Linked DNA regions of Lepisosteus oculatus. The protein of the gene in region 1 interacts with the protein of each later gene in a pairwise test. Links are inferred from orthologs where the notes say so. Each region holds a gene or a part of one and is shown on either strand. Other genes may lie near its edges. The genes, in order: rgl2 and ras-related protein Rap-1b.

Evidence for each region.
Region 2: the proteins of rgl2 (region 1) and ras-related protein Rap-1b interact in a two-hybrid assay, tested with the Homo sapiens proteins (2 studies listed by BioGRID and IntAct). The link is inferred for Lepisosteus oculatus from reciprocal best matches to the Homo sapiens genes RGL2 and RAP1B.

The regions. Positions count from the first base shown.
Region 1 is NC_090709.1:38,452,953-38,456,866, forward strand, and holds the start of rgl2 (ral guanine nucleotide dissociation stimulator-like 2), read left to right. Parts: upstream 1-1,087; 5' UTR 1,088-1,106; intron 1,107-1,335; 5' UTR 1,336-1,346; coding exon 1,347-1,496; intron 1,497-2,699; coding exon 2,700-2,759; intron 2,760-3,174; coding exon 3,175-3,261; intron 3,262-3,914. UniProt on the Homo sapiens protein: Probable guanine nucleotide exchange factor. Putative effector of Ras and/or Rap. Associates with the GTP-bound form of Rap 1A and H-Ras in vitro.
Region 2 is NC_090702.1:23,663,141-23,667,054, forward strand, and holds the start of ras-related protein Rap-1b, read right to left. Parts: upstream 2,679-3,914; 5' UTR 2,542-2,678; intron 1-2,541. UniProt on the Homo sapiens protein: GTP-binding protein that possesses intrinsic GTPase activity. Contributes to the polarizing activity of KRIT1 and CDH5 in the establishment and maintenance of correct endothelial cell polarity and vascular lumen.

The DNA.
Region 1 (3,914 bases):
AGGCTGGACTGGACTGGCTGGACTGGGAGCTGGATTAGTTCTTCACTGGGATTGTAATCAGACTCCACTGACACTGACAGAGCAGTCTGACACTCTCCAGGCTGGACTGGACTGACTGGACTGACTGGACTGGGAGCTGGATTAGTTATTCACTGGGATTGTAATCAGAATTGTAATCAGTTACAAAGAAAGGTGTATTTCTCTTCCTTCTCCAAGAGCTGGAGGTGTGTTTGTTTAGTATTTGCATGTTGGCCGAAACTGCAGAGAGAGAGAGAGTCAACCGGTTTAATGCAAAGTAGAGAGAGAGACAGGGAGTGTTTTCTTTGTGTTTCTCCTACTAAATATACATATAAACACACACTGGCTGAGTGTCTCAGCAGAGAGAGAGCAAGGAGAAACAGACCCTGATGAAGGACAGGCTCAGTGACCACAGCCTGGACAGACACTGGACACAGGCAGACCTGACTACACAGAGAGGACAAGCTCAGTGACCATAGTCTGATAGACACTGGACACAGGCAGACCTCACTACACAGAGAGGACAGGCTCAGTGACCACAGCCTGGACACAGACACTGGACACAGACAGACCTGGCTGTCCAGAGAGGACAGGCTCAGTGTCCACAGCCTGGACACAGACAGACCTGACTACACAGAGAGGACAGGCTCAGTGTCCACAGACACTGGACACAGGCAGACCTGGCTGTCCAGAGAGGACAGGCTCAGTGACCACAGCCTGGACACAGACACTGGACACAGGCAGACCTGGCTGCCCAGAGAGGACAGGCTCAGTGACCACAGCCTGGACACAGACACAGAACACAGGCAGACCTGGCTGTCCAGAGAGGACAGGCTCAGTGACCACAGCCTGGACACAGACACTGGACGCAGGCAGACCTGGCTGTCCAGAGAGGACAGGCTCAGTGACCACAGCCTGGACACAGACACTGGACACAGGCAGACCTGGCTGTCCAGAGAGGACAGGCTGTGCTCCCACTGCCAGCGGGGAGAAATAGAGACTTTCTGCTGCACTGTGAGAAGCACTCTGGGATCTGACAAACATTCCTCAGTGTCAATCAGTGCGTCAATCAGTGCGTCAATCAGTGTGTGAGTCTCAGATAGTGTGTTAATCAGTGTTTCAGTGTGTCAGTCAGTGCATTAATCAGTGTGTGAGTTTGTCAGTGTGAGTGTATCAGTATGTTAGTGTGTCAGTCAGTCATTGTGTCTGTGTGAGTGTGTCAGTCAGTCAGTGTGTGAGTGTGCGATTGTGTCAGTGTGTCAGTGTTGTCATGTCTGTCCGCTAACTCCCTTTGTCCTCTCCCCCTGTGTCCGACAGTGGTATGAGCCATGCTCCCCCGCCTGTGGAGTGGTGGTACGGACCTCCCGGGAGGGGAGGAGCCTCAGGGCGTGACCCTCAGTGGGTACCGCCCCCTGGAGACGCCGGGTGAAGGGAGGTGGGCGGAGCCAGGCGGCTGGACGCAGGCGGACACGCCCCCGGTGAGTTCCCCGTCTCACAGCCAGGGGTCAGACCCGAGCTCCCCGGATCTACCCCACGACACACAGCCCGAAGTAGGGAGAGGGATTGAGGAAGAGGAGGGAGGGGTCAGAGGGTGGACGTGAGGTCACGGCTAGTTCCTGCAATTGTCCACACTGACAATGGCACTTCCTGAACCCAGAGCACTGAGAGACGGGCAGGGAGACTTCCTGTATAAAACAGCCCAGTCCCGTACCTTATAACCCAGTCCAGTGCTCTCCATCCCAGCCCAGTGCCCTCTGAACCAAAAGAGAGTCTCAGGGGTTCAGACAGAGAGACTCAGGGGTTCAGACAGAGAGACTCAGGGGTTCAGACAGAGAGACTCAGGGGTCAGACAGAGTCTCAGGGGTCAGACAGAGTCTCAGGGGTCAGACAGAGTCTCAGGGGTCAGATAGAGACTCAGGGGTTCAGACACTCAGGGGTCAGACAGAGAGACTCAGGGGTTCAGACACTCAGGGGTCAGACAGAGAGACTCAGGGGTTCAGACAGAGAGACTCAGGGGTTCAGACAGAGACTCGGGGGTTAAGGCAGAGACTCAGGGGTTCAGACAGAGAGACTCAGGGGTTCAGACAGAGAGACTCAGGGGTCAGACAGAGAGACTCAGGGGTCAGACAATGAGACTCAGGGGTCAGACAGAGAGACTCAGGGGTTCAGACAGAGAGACTCAGGGGTTCAGACAGAGAGACTCAGGGGTTCAGACAGAGACTCAGGGGTCAGACAGAGAGTCTCAGGGGTTCAGACAGAGACTCAGGGGTCAGACAGAGAGACTCAGGGGTTCAGACAGAGACTCGGGGGTTAAGGCAGAGACTCAGGGGTTCAGACAGAGAGACTCAGGGGTTCAGACAGAGAGACTCAGGGGTCAGACAGAGAGACTCAGGGGTCAGACAATGAGACTCAGGGGTCAGACAGAGAGACCCAGGGGTCAGACAGAGAGACTCAGGGGTTCAGACAGAGTCTCAGGGGTTCAGACAGAGACTCAGGGGGTCTCCCAGGCCCTGCAGAGCAGTCTGATTCCTGCAGGCTGTTCTGAGGTTCAGGCTGCTCAGGAAGTGCAGGTCTGGTCTTGTCCGAGGTAGCCCTGTCGCGCTGACGTCACTGGGGCTGCGCTCTTCCTGGATATGAGCAGAGCACCGACACACAGGCATGATCTTCCCTTCTGTTCTCAGACTGGACACAAACCGGACCCTGGGCACATGAAGACCACCTGGTACTGTCCACTGGAGCCGGTAAGAGTCTCTGTCTCTGTCTCTGTCTCTCTCTCTGTCTCTCAGTGCAGTGTTCATGTACTGGAGTGTCCAGTCAGTGTGTCTGTATGAACCCCTCTCTCTCTCAGTGCAGTGTTCATGTCCTGGAGTGTCCAGTCAGTGTGTCTGTATGAACCCCTCTCTCTCTCAGTGCAGTGTTAATGTACTGGAGTGTCCAGTCAGTGTGTCTGTATGAACCCCTCTCTCTCAGTGCAGTGTTCATGTACTGGAGTGTCCAGTCAGTGTGTCTGTATGAACCCCTCTCTCTCTCAGTGCAGTGTTCATGTACTGGAGTGTCCAGTCAGTGTGTGTGTATGAACCCCTCTCTCTCTCAGTGCAGTGTTCATGTACTGGAGTGTCCAGTCAGTGTGTGTGTATGAACCCCTCTCTCTCTCAGTCCTCAGCTGTGTCGGAAGTAGAGGAGGAAGGTCTTATCTACACTGTGGTGGTGAAACAGCAGCCCAGTACCTCCAGTGGGACAGGGGTGAGACTTATATGACTCTTCTGTTGTGAAGTGATCTGCAGTTACCCATAGTCAGGGACAGAGGGCGCTGTCCACATTGTAAGACTGTGTACAATCTGAGACACAGGCCCTGCCTACACGTCAGTATCTTCAGAGAGATCATTAAAATATGTGAGAACTGCATCTCTCAGTGTGCGCTGTGTATACCCCTCTCTCTCTGTGTGTGTGTATTAACCCCTCTCTCTCTCAGTGTGTGTATTACCCCTCTGTGTGTGTGTGTGTATTAACCCCTCTCTCTCTCAGTGTGTGTGTATTAACCCCTCTCTCTCAGTGTGTGTATTACCCCTCTCTCTGTGTGTGTGTATTAACCCCCCTCTCTCTTAGTGTGTGTGTGTATTACCCCTCTCTCTCTGTGTGTGTTTATTAACCCCCCTCTCTCTCTCAGTGTGCGGGTGTGTTGACCCCTCTCTCTCTCTCAGTGTGCGGGTGTGTTGACCCCTCTCTCTCTCTCAGTGTGCGGGTGTGTTGACCCCTCTCTCTCTCTCTCAGTGTGTGTGTGTGTTGACCCCTCTCTCTCTCTCAGTGTGTGTGTGTTGACCCCTCTCTCTCTCTCTCAGTGTGTGTGTGTATTAACCCCCCTCTCTCTCTCTCTCAGTGTGTGTGTGTATTAACCC
Region 2 (3,914 bases), on another chromosome or scaffold:
GCGCTCACTCAGTGACGTCCTTTTACACGGAAGGTGGGACAGACTGCAGGGTAACATTCCACTGGGCCATCAGCCAGCAAACGCGCCACAATGTGCTCTCCTAAGCCTTTTAAGAGAATAAAGACGAATCAATAATTCTTTTTTTTCCTTTCTATGCTTCAATCGGTACTAGGGGCCCCACTCAAGCTGCCGCCGCATTTCTTCACGGACAAAGGAGAACCACAGACACGCGTGTGCCAAACGACACGCTGACTTGCTTGTGCAAACGACAGCCCAAATTGCTCAAGGTGCCCTTATGTAATCCAACGCATCCAACCTACCCCGGTTCTGCTGAAGGCCGGGAGATGCCTTCTGCACTCGCAGTATAGAGTTTCAGGAGACGGGACACTCGGACCTGCTGAATCCCGATCGGTTTGTTTTATTGCTCTCCTAGGAGGATGCCCGGCTCTTCAGCAGATTCTCTTTAAAACCGGAGGGGGAGCTTGTTGTGCACCTTTATAGATCAGTCCCACTTGTTGCAGAGTGGTATGCTATCCCACAGCTGTTGCTTCTTGATTGCTATCTGCACTGCTGACTGAGTGTCCTAACCTAAATGGCATCTGATATGTCTTCCCAATGCCGAACTACAGGAAGAGACGAGGGAAATTGCATGTGTGCTGCATTACGGAGGCAAATATTAATTTGCGTTCCCTGCACATTTCCTGGTACTGGATTTTGAGAAAAGCAGCTCAGTGCAGGAGTGTCACAAAACATCAGACAAGCTAACAGAGAATTACTAGCATGCATGCAGACAGCAGCAGATCCCCGAGTGGAGAAATAAAGACAAGGACCATTTCCTTTCCCAAAGGCAAGACCTGAGCATGCTTTCTGTTGCAACGCATGGAGAAAGCAGACCATGGAGAAATGGAGATGATAACCAGTGATGCCATTTTCATGGTCAGACACAAAGACAATCCATGCGCAGATCTGAATTTTAACAACGCCAAACTTCTGGGACTTGGGAAAATTGTAATGGCGCGGGTAACATTTCAAGGAAAACCTTGCTCACCAATACATCAAAATGTATCAGCAGACTTTATCCAACATCAATCGCACCCACACAACAAAAACAGTTCACTTAGAGAGAGGTTAGACAGTATTTTGCATTCTCCATCAGCCAGAATCAGTATGCTGGGGGAAAAGAGAGTACATGCTCAACATATAACGTTCAAAATCCAAGACTGACAAAGAGTGGTAATTGTAATATCTCTTCTTCGATGTCTGCACATACTTGTACAGATGCATACGATCAAACTCGAATTCAAGAAACTCAACTTGCTCGGTGGGATAAAACACAGCGTGCTGTCCAGCGAAAATGGAAGGGTAACAAAAGTTTGGTCACAGCTCCATGAAACTCGTGTAAAACAAACTTAACGGGAAACTATACTCCTACGAAAACTAAGGCCTATTAAATTCAGGGTACGAGTCTGCTGATGGCTTAAAGCTGGGCCACATGGGACTAAATTGTTCTACGATGCATAAACTCCTGACGACCACCCAAGATGTTTAATCGAATCAGAAAATGACAAACCGTGCATACATTTAGCGCAATATTCTTTCATGCCACACATCACAGCATTCATCGGGTAAAGGAAAAACGCCTCTTTGTGTCAGAAAAAAACCCGGAATCGACGATTTTAAGGAAATGCATCCAACTGATAAAAGATTTCGCCCTTTTCAAGATATCGCATTTGTTCGAGGCTCCTTGCCAGTTTTAATTTAAGTCCTTAAATGACCATTTCTTCGTACGTGTGTCTTCGTGAGGGCTAATCAAGTGACATTTGGACGAAAAACTCAAAGATCCCCCTTGAGGACGCCTCGCCTTATCCCCACTCAGTTGTGAACTAGGCGGGGCACGTTATCAGGAACATCACACCAAATGAGTGCTTTGCTTACAACAAGCCTGCAAAACGCGCACCCCGGTAAAATAACGCTTCATCTGCCACTAGTTCGCTTTCCTCCGATTCACAAAGCTAGCAATCAGATCTTCCAACTCTAAAACGGGCCTGCTTAGCTGGGTTTTATTGTGACTAGGAACCGGAGACACCAAAAGAATTCGTAATGTGAACTACAATCTCGACAACTTTTCCATTTCCGTTTGAACTTCTCCGCTGTCACAGGCTAAAACACAACACAACGCCATTTCCCCAAGCCTCCTGCCACCCAGGCGGGGGTTCATCTTCACGTTTTCAGAGCTCAGAAGTTCAGTATGCGGCCACGGCAGCCCCGGAGAAACGCTGTGAAGTAAAACATTAGGAGTTGGGGGCTCTTCCACCCCAGCTCCGCCATATTTTAGAGACATTTGACCTGCTCTTCCGCAAACCGTGTTTTAATGCGTTTTTTTTAAAACCGGTTCCCGTATTCAACGGCGCAGAGGCTATCGCGCCGCCGCCTCGCCGGCATTTCGTGTCAACATTAAAAAGCCTCGGAAACGCGCTCCCAACGGCCTCTCTTTTCCAGATAACGTAGAAAAGTTACAATAAAAGCAGATACAGTACTTACAGTTTCGTCCTCTCCGCCGCTCCAATCTGTTTGCGCCTCTCGCCCTGCTCTCTCGATCTCTCCTATCTGGGTGAGGTTTTGAGTTTTTGCATGACGTTGCAGCCTCGGTTTCAGCACCAGTCACAAACTGAATTTACAACTGGACAGAGAGAAAGGCGAGACTGCCGATGGCTTATGTTCCTGTGTAGCATCCATACAGCGTGAAAATAAAGCAAAATACTACGTCTTTACGCTACGCAATTACACACAACAGCCGTCGTATAATATTTAAAGTCTTACTACATGTTTAAGTATGTAATATGTGCTGTAATTGCAAAACCTTTGTCATAAAAATGTATGGTGGGACGTTATGCACCATACTTACGCATTACATTTGTGCAAACAGATGAGGTGCGTTTTCCAGTCGTCTTTCTCTTTTTGCCATCGTAAATCAAATAAATGTCCTTATAAAAACAAGATGCAGCACGGTTTCCAATGTTTTCGTTGTCTGCATATCGGCTTCACATCCTAGCAGAAGAAATTCCTGGCATTTAGCCACAAAGAGTCCTGCAAATTGCAGGAGTACATTAAAGAATTAAACGGCCTTTAGAAACAATGAGAGAATTGGATTATTAAGATAAGTAATATTTATAACAATCGTTTATTATTATGTTAAAAATGTTTTTAAATTAACTTACAACTTTATGTTAATATGATGAGAGGTCATCTGCTATATCTGCAATACCATTTCTGAGTGTGGAATCAATATCGGATGGAAAGCTTTTTATAAGAGTGTAGAGCATCCCCGAACAGGAGATGTGACGTAAAAAAAGAATCCTCTCCGATTTTGTGAGGACTTCATTTTTTACTTTATTTTAGCCCAAATTCTTTTATGCCCAATTTTAAAAAAAGACTCACAAATTCCAGGTGCAAGCAATGAGCATAGCCGCAATCATTTGGGATCCTTAAAAACCCATTTTTGTAGACATAATTTTATGACAGTGAAATGGAAGAGCTGCATTGGCAACCCCTAAGACTAGAGAATGTCACCTTTTTCTGTTCTGTCTGGTCCCTGACAATTTCAATCATCAGAGCACTTTTCTCTAAGCCAAGAAATAAAGTTCTCCTCCACCACACACACAACAGAATCAGATACAGGCAACATCCAGAACAGGCAAAAAAGATGTTGGTAAACGTTACAATTTTGTAATATTTGTCTCAAAACAAAAAAAATATTTTTATTTTTTAGTAAACAAAATAGCTAAAATTATTATAGGAATTATAGTGATAATTGAACCATTTCTTTTTTACGTATGCTGAGCATAAATGACCACTGATTGCTTTTGTAAACTAAGAACAAACAGGCTACGGAAAAGTCAGTCCTTTGTAAATAA